Linked DNA regions of Macaca fascicularis. The protein of the gene in region 1 purifies or fractionates together with the protein of each later gene. This does not show direct contact. Links are inferred from orthologs where the notes say so. Each region holds a gene or a part of one and is shown on either strand. Other genes may lie near its edges.

Region 1 (3,807 bases):
TGTGACCCTTGAGGGTCCTGAGTCCTGTCCATGGCTGCACCTGCAGCGCTTCTGAGGCAGAGTCAGAAGGTCAGAGGGGGATGTGGCAAGGCTGCTGCTCCGCGTGGTCCCGGCACCTCGCACCTGTGCCATTGGGAGGCTAGAGCACGGTTGGGGGCTAGGGAGCATTGTGGGGCAGCCAGGCCAGCAAATGGCCAGTCCTCCCTGCCTGGGCCCTGCCTTTTCCTCCTGGCTTTTCTCTCCCCATCCCGACCTGCTTTCCCCTCCCTGGCCCTCAGAAGAGTGGAGAGCGCATGGGAAGTACAGAGGCAGCTGTGGGAGGCAGACCCCATGTCCTCTCCAGCCTGTGCCCCGGCTGCTCTGGGGCTTGGGAGGTGGCAGCCGGTGGAGCAAGGATGGGGCCCGGAGGGCTGGGGAGGAGCAACTAGTGTCCCTGAATTGGAACTGGAGGAGGATAGCAGCCCAGGACCCTCACTTTCCCCAGCCCCAGACCTAGCCCTGGCCCTGGCCTATCCTGGTGGAGAGAGGGAAGGATCGTTGATAAACGACCGTGAAGCCCGTGCTGCCTGAGGGGTCTCATTGATGGGGTGTGGGTGCAGGTGGGAGCCTTGTTCCACCGATGAGATGGGAACTCGAGACGGGCCCATGATGGTGCGACCGCAGGGAAAGGGCGGCCCCTTCCCTAATGCCTGAGGCATCTCCCTCTTCTCCCCCAGAGAGCCTTCTCCATGGACGACCGCATCGCGTGGACCCACATCACCATCCCCGAGTCCCTGAGGCAAGGCAAGGTGGAGGACAAGTGGTACAGCCTGAGCGGGAGGCAGGGGGACGACAAGGAGGGCATGATCAACCTCGTCATGTCCTACGCGGTGAGCTGCCGGCCTGGTATCAGGGGCATCGGGGAGGGGCGGGACGCGTCAGAGGCCTTGGGGTGGGGCGGGTCAGGGTATGTTGGGACACATCGGGGCTGTGCCACCCCGCAGACACCCTGGTCTCTTTCCTGGAGGCACTGAGTCCGTCAAACAGCAGGGCTCAGCGTTCTGAGGACAGAGGGAAGGGGCCCTGGGTGGTTTGGTGGCAGAGAGGAGCTGCCCCGCCCACTGCTCCTGCCCATCGATTCTGTCTGGGGAAAGAGCATCGGGGTTGTTTGTGTTCCTAAGATGGGCCCACCCTTTGTGGTGGTCTCCACTGCAGGCCCCTGTGTCCTCGGAGGTCCCTCACAGCCCTTCCAAGCTCTGCCCTTAGGGTCCAGCTGAGCAGCCCTCCAGGGTCTGAGATGCAGCCCTGGGCCCTATGGGACACCAGGCTCCTCCCAACAGGGCAGGCACTGGCCAGGGTGTGGAAGGGCATCTCTGGAGATGTGGGGGAAGCCTGGGGGCTGCCGCGCTCGGGGTCAGGAAGTCGAGGCCTGGCCGTGGGGCCAGCACGTCAGCTGCCCTGGCTCCCAGCTGTCTATATCCTCAGGACACCTGCAGCTCCTGGGGGCATCGGGAGGGCCAGTTAGAGGCTCCAGGACGCAGAACTCCTACCGTCTTCTCTGTGTTATCACTCAGGGATTCTCTGTATTATCACTCAGGGATTCTCTGTATTATCACTCAGGGAATTTTTAGGTTGTTGCTGAAAAATGGTGCTGTGGGAAATGCAAGGCCCATGTGACAGTGGAGAGGGCGCAGCAGGGAGCCGCTCTTCTGGGCCATCTTGGCTCCTCCCACTCCCTTTTTGTTAACGCCGGGATATTTTAAAGCAAGTCCCAGCCATGAGTGACCACGTGTAAATGTCTCAGGACGCAGCTTTAACCGATGCTTTCATACGCAGAACCGTCATGACGCCCCAGTGACTTTACCTGCAGGTGACAGTTTTCAACTCAGAGACGACAGCAGTGCAGTGACTTATCTCAAGTTGACAGTTTTAAACTCAGACACCACAGCTGTGCAGTGTGGTTCCCCCCAGGCCCCCTTGACACCTACACTGGGATGTCCCTCCTGACACCATCGTCTCTCCGTCACATCCCAGTTAGCGGGGGGTCTGTAAGCCTGAGCCATGTCACCTCCTGGACGTGAGGAGGTGGCGCGGGGGGTCTGTAAGCCTGAGCCATGTCACCTCCTGGACGTGAGGAGGTGGCGCGGGGGGTCTGTAAGCCTGAGCCATGTCACCTCCTGGACGTGAGGAGGTGGCGCGGGGGGTCTGTAAGCCTGAGCCATGTCACCTCCTGGACGTGAGGAGGTGGTGCGGGGGGTCTGTAAGCCTGAGCCATGTCACCTCCTGGACGTGAGGAGGTGGTGCGGGGGTGGGAGTGGGCCCCGGCGTCCCCTGTGCACTCAGGGCTCACAGCTGGGTTCGGGGCTAGCATGGGGAGGGCGATTCCTGAGGTTCTGATGGGTAGATGTTCCTTCCTGACCCCGGGACCATCTCCGCTGTGTTCCAGCTGCTGCCAGCTGCCATGGTGATGCCACCCCAGCCTGTGGTCCTGATGCCGACGGTGTACCAGCAGGGCGTCGGCTACGTGCCCATCACAGGTGCGTGTGCTCCCTCCTCCCTGGGTGCCTCCCCCCTGGTAGAAACCCCAGGGCCTAGGGCGGGCGCAGGACAAGGGAACAGGGCTTAGAGCGCCGGTGGGGGGACGCCATCCGTTCTAGAATCCTGCAGACGTGCCGACTGCACGCAGATCCTTCTAGGCTAGGGAGCCAAGGATTACGTTTGAATTTTGTTTGCATATCTAGAGAATAGAATTGGTTTTTTTTCTAATTGTTGGCAGAAATGAGATGAGTTGAAATTTTCAGAGGTGTGGAAATGTGACTGAAACCTCGTCGTGCCCAGCTCTCTGCAGGAGAACCTCACACCCCTGTCGGGCGATGCATGCTCTGCACTGCGCTGTTGCAGCCGTTGTCGTGTGTCACTGTTAAGAGTGAGCAGCCGGTGGCTGCAGCAACACCAAGCGGGAATGTCGCTTTTCACGCTGTTGCATTTTTGGTCCAGCTGTCGCTGTCGTAGCAGCTGGTGCAAGGCCAGCCCCCACCATGGACGGGCCCAGCGTCCTCAGCAGGCGGGGGGACAGCAGCCCCTGAGGAGGTGCTCGGGGGGAGCCTGTGGCCACCCTGGTTCTCCACCCAAGGTGGCCTCTCATTCCGGGGAGCTGGTGTCTGGCAGAGCGTGGGTCCCTCTGCACTGGGGGACCAGGCCATGGAAGTGGCCAAGTTGCGGGCAGGGCGCTGGGGATGCGTGGTGGTGTTGGGGGAGGGTCTCGGGGCCTGCGTGAGGCCCCGGCTGCTTGTGCTCAGGGGCTGCTTTGGGGTTGGGGTGGGACAGAGCTGCTGGCAGGCGAGAGTGCTGTCAGGCCGGTGCTGGTGTCCAGCCCAGCTGGAGTGGAGAGGCCTGGTCCGCACCCCAGTCCTGGCAGCATCCCGTACAGATGCAGAAAGGCCACCTTGGGAGTCAGGACCTTGCCCTAGACCCACCTGATGTGGCCTGAAACCCAGCCTGGTGGTGGGAAGGAGGGGACGGCGCTGGGAGACTCTGGTCTGTCCACTGGTGTTCAGGACATTCTCTGACGAAACTGCTTATGAGAACAGCATGGCCCTGCCCTCACTTGCTCACATCGAGACTCTGTTTCCAAGTAAAGCCGCCTGCGCAGGTGCCAGGGCTGCCTTTCTCCAGAGGAAAGAGCAGAGCCCGTGTCTGAGCAGGGCCTCTATGGTGTCCAGTGTCTTAGAAAACCACCAGCCTGGGCCAGGAGCGGCGGCTCACGCCTGTAATCCCAGCACTGTGGGAGACTGAGGCAGGCAGATCACGAGGTCGGGAGATCGAGAC
Region 2 (4,361 bases), on another chromosome or scaffold:
TCCAGAATTCTGGAGACAACGCCAATAAGACTGCCCTTCAGGTGACTCTAATCTGCAACCAGATGACTTTCACAGGATCTATTCAGTTCACACCAGAAATCCTACCACTGTGAATAGAAAAGCTGTTAGGCTAATAGCACAGGAGGTTTATACGGGTTTATTCCTTCCTCCTTCAGACCTGTGCATGTCTGCAGAGATGAAGGGAAGGACGAATTGAGTAGGTTGCTGAAAAACGTTTAATTCAAGGGACAAGGAAGGTTAAGGAAGAGGAAGAGACATTACGAGTTAACGACAGTGGCTACGTCTACCTCAGCCGGAGGGATCTTAGAAATGGAGACTCTGAGGCCCAACCCCAGGTCTAGGAAAACAGATTCTGCATTTTAACATCCCCAGACGATTTGCATGCACCGGTCTGCATCCCTAGTTCTCAATGAAATCAAAGAATCATCTGGAGAGTTTGCTAATAACTAGACACCTGGGTCCTATCCCTCAGAGATTCTGATTTTCCGGGCTCTCGGTGGAGCTATATTTTTAACAAGGCTCTCCAAGTTATCCCGATATAACTACTTCAAGGTCTACGGTCTGAGAAGTACGGACCGGGAAGGCCTCTGCAAGGAGGTTCTCATTCATAAATTCACCCACTCATCCAGCCAGGACAAGGGCCTTCCTAGGCTATTCTGTCTAAAGCGGCCCCCGTTAAACCGCACTCCTGCTTTTCCCTTATAACACCCACCCCAGTTGCAAGTTCTCTGTACGCTTACCGTCTGACTCCCTACCCACTAGAACGTGAACTCCAACACAGCAGCGACCTTCTGTGCTTTTCTTACCCAGGTGATCTCCGAGAACAAAATCCAATCTGACGCTCACCCACCCCTCCCGCGCGTGTCAACACCATTCAACAAACCCCTTCTACCTCTAGCTGTAATAAGTAACAAGCAGTGTCTTACAGGGCGCCTCGGTGCCCAAGAGCGGATGCAAAGGCACTGGGCGGGCACAGGGTAGCGCCAAGGACACCCAGGGACGAAGGAACCGAGAGGGGACTTGACGCTCCGCCACTCCGGCCGGCCGCCCCTTGTCCCCGCCGCCCTCGTCGCCACTGAGATATCCCCCACGGTCTACCCACCCGTCGGCTCCCACCTGCGACCCAAGGACCCGAGTCTTCCAAGAGCTCAGCCGTTAGAATTCAAAGGTTCTTCTTTTTAAATAGGAGTTAAACCCTCTAGCCAGAAAGCCGATTGGCCTGCACTCGAGCGAGGCTGCCTTGTGATTGGTTGACAACAAACCCGACGCCTTGAGTCGCGTTTAAGGCGCACACCGCGCGCAGGCGCACTTGCTCCTTGAGACCCCGGAAGTGGCGGAGCCAACGGCCAGCCAGACCCGTGGCAGTGCCAGCCCCAGGGTACTCTCCGGGGTCGGCCATTTATCGGTGAGGCAGCAGCCCCTTGACGTCAAGCTTGTCGCATTGGAGATAAAGTCCGAGGGGGTGAACTAACCTTTTGAACGTGCCAGTAAGTAAGATGGCGAGAAAAGCAAGCGAGAGTGCGACCGATCGATAGCGCAGCGGTCGGCTTGGCGCCCTTTCAGCGTGCGCAGTGAATGTGCGCTCGGAGCGGTCGATTGGGCAGGATTCGCGCCTCCATTTTTCCAGGAGAGAGCGGGATACCGAGAGAACCGGACCAGCTGGTACTGGGGCACGGGGAGAGTGGCTGGTGCGGTCGGCTGGGGCGTTTAGCGAAAACCACAGAAACAACTGGGGCGAGACCGGAAGAGTCCAGAGTTAGCAAGATGGCATGCGCCTCTACTTTGTGCTTCCTAAGTTGCCCGGCTTGGCCTGCACCCCCTCCTCTTCCTCAAAGGGCCTCGCTTCCATTCCCACCCAGTCCTTAGTTCGCCTCTGCATCCAGATGGTCGCGGCGCATATAGTGAGGGGGCGTCTGTGTTCTAGCCTTTCCAACTGCGATGTAACCGGTCCTGGATCGGGTTCTTGTCCTCGTGTCTCCGTGTGCTCACCTGCAAATTGGGGATAATTAGGCTTCTGTTTACCTGGCGAGTGAACGTTCTGTGGGAGTTGAGAAGTTAGGACTGGGCCACCATAAAATATATATATACACACACATATATATATACACATACATGTATACATATATACACACAAATGTGTGTGTGTGTATATATATATTTGTACACCCGACATGTGCTCAGAAGTGAAGAGACCGGATAGAATAGTGGTGTAGGGGAGCCAAAAATGGCTTCCCTCCATCCTTCTAGGTACCTTATTAAGACTAAGAGTTAAATTACCATAAGACAAATTAACAGATTACTGCAGGGTAAACAGGATGTGCATGTAAAGCATTGAACTGGCATACGGAAATTATTCAAGTCATATTAGCACGACATTAACAGTAGAATCTCTCATCAACTTTTCTTTGCCAGACTACCCACTTGTGATTTTCATTCTTTGTTGGTACTTAAGAATCTCCCATTTTTTTCGGGTCACTAAACATTGTCCATAGGAGAAAAACGATATTTAATTATGTACAGGAGTCCCACAAAATACGAGACTAAGAAGTTGAAGTCAGATGATTAAAGCTTACATGGCATCCTGAGCTACTGAAAGGAATGAATAGAGGGTTGGGGGCGGGTGGGAGGATGGTAAGCAGCAGCTGTAACACAAGTTTTGGGAGGGTGAACGGAGGAAATGTATGGTGAATCAAGTTTGTTAATGCAGACAGAATAGGTGATCCTCTGGGTGGTGTCAACCTCTAATCTCCTCTCGTGATCGGAGTTAATCTTCCCTGGTTCCTATGATCTAAGTGAATCTTCCCTGGTTAATAAGGATTCGTGACAATTGAGGTATTTTTGGAGGGTCAGACTTTAGGCAGGTAAGGAAAGCACAGGGAAAGCCTCTTCCCGCCTGCTGTTCTCCAAGTGCCCTCAGTTCAAAGTAATCAGCCCGCCAAAGCATCTTGCTTTGGGCTGGCATTTCCTGAACTCCTTCAGTGGTTAAGCTCAGGGCTCTGGAGTTGGCAATTCTGGTGTGCTTTTAACCTTGGATAAGTAACTCAGCCACTTTTTACCTTGAGTAGGTGTTCTGACCTCCTTGAACCCATTTCATCATCTTTATTGTGTCCCAGGATTTTCTACTCAAGCATAGACTTATTATGTTCATGTACTACTTCAGATACTTGAATACATTGAATGATTTTATTCAGTGAACTGATGCTTACAAAGTACTTAGCATGACTGTATCTGGCATGCAGGAAGTGCTTAATGTTGTTGGTTATTATTAACACCATCAGTGTCGTACAGTGTATAAGAAATAGACTCTGGGCCAGGCGCAGTGGCTCATGCCCATAATTCCAGCACTTTGGGAGGCTGAGGCAGGCAGATCACAAGGTCAGGAGTTCAAGACCAGCCTGGCCAATATTGTGAAACCCCGTCTCTACTAAAAATACGAAAATTAGCCAGGCGTGGTGGCACGTGCCTGTAGTCCCAGCTACTTGGGAGGCTGAGGCAGGAGAATAGCTTGAACCTGGGAGGCAGAGGTTGCAGTGAGCCGAGACTGGGCCACTGCCCTCCAGCCTGGGCGACAGAACGAGACTCCATCTCAAAAAGAAAAAAAAGAAAAAAGAAATCAGGCTCTGAGGTCGCTTTTATTCTTTATTGCTGTCCCCAGACACCTGTAGCCTTTTAATATTGGTTCAAACATACACATACATAAAGGCATTGATTTTTAGTAAGCAGATTATCATGTTCAACAGTTGGAGTTCTTTTTTGAATAAGCCAGAAACCATTTACAGTTTTTTTTGTCTCTTAAGACTAAAGGAAAACTTAGACACTTGTAAATCAGTGCATGCACAGTCCTTCCAGATTTTTACTGTGTTTTTCATTTTTATTGTTTTGACCTTGATTGGCAGGATTTTATTGGGCAGCTCACCTTCGAGCCTTTCTAACGCATTTAACTCTGTTGAGTTTTTATAGTACAGTTGCTTTTTTTCCTTCATATTTTCATTTACTGTCGAATTAGATTATAGAATTACAGTCACAAGCTCAGTTGCCTTAAAACAGGTTTTGAGAATGAACATAAAAGATATTAGTAAACATACAGCTCAGCTAGTGGAACCAGCAGTCTAGGCCTTGACAAAACAGCAGCTATCTTGCATGTTGCAGGTGCTAGTCAATGTTTAATTAACAAAAGAAATGGAAGATTCTGGGATAGCAATAAAGAACAAAAATCATAGGTAGGTAGTTTGGTGGGGGAAGAAAAGTCGATGAGGGATTGTACCGTAAATATTGGCTAACATGACCTGAATAATTTCTGTATGCCAGGCACTGTGCTCAGGGCTCTATATGCACCACCT

What was found.
Region 2: the proteins of TOLLIP (region 1) and CSTF1 purify together in Homo sapiens (co-immunoprecipitation; 3 studies listed by BioGRID and IntAct, with this or other methods). This does not show direct contact. The link is inferred for Macaca fascicularis from reciprocal best matches to the Homo sapiens genes TOLLIP and CSTF1.

What each region holds. Positions count from the first base shown.
Region 1 is NC_088388.1:1,223,132-1,226,938, forward strand, and holds part of TOLLIP (toll-interacting protein), read left to right. Parts: intron 1-716; coding exon 717-869; intron 870-2,425; coding exon 2,426-2,516; intron 2,517-3,807. UniProt on the Homo sapiens protein: Component of the signaling pathway of IL-1 and Toll-like receptors. Inhibits cell activation by microbial products. Recruits IRAK1 to the IL-1 receptor complex. Inhibits IRAK1 phosphorylation and kinase activity.
Region 2 is NC_088384.1:112,427,024-112,431,384, forward strand, and holds the start of CSTF1 (cleavage stimulation factor subunit 1), read left to right. Parts: upstream 1-1,332; 5' UTR 1,333-1,508; intron 1,509-1,606; exon of another isoform or gene 1,607-1,683; intron 1,684-4,361. UniProt on the Homo sapiens protein: One of the multiple factors required for polyadenylation and 3'-end cleavage of mammalian pre-mRNAs. May be responsible for the interaction of CSTF with other factors to form a stable complex on the pre-mRNA.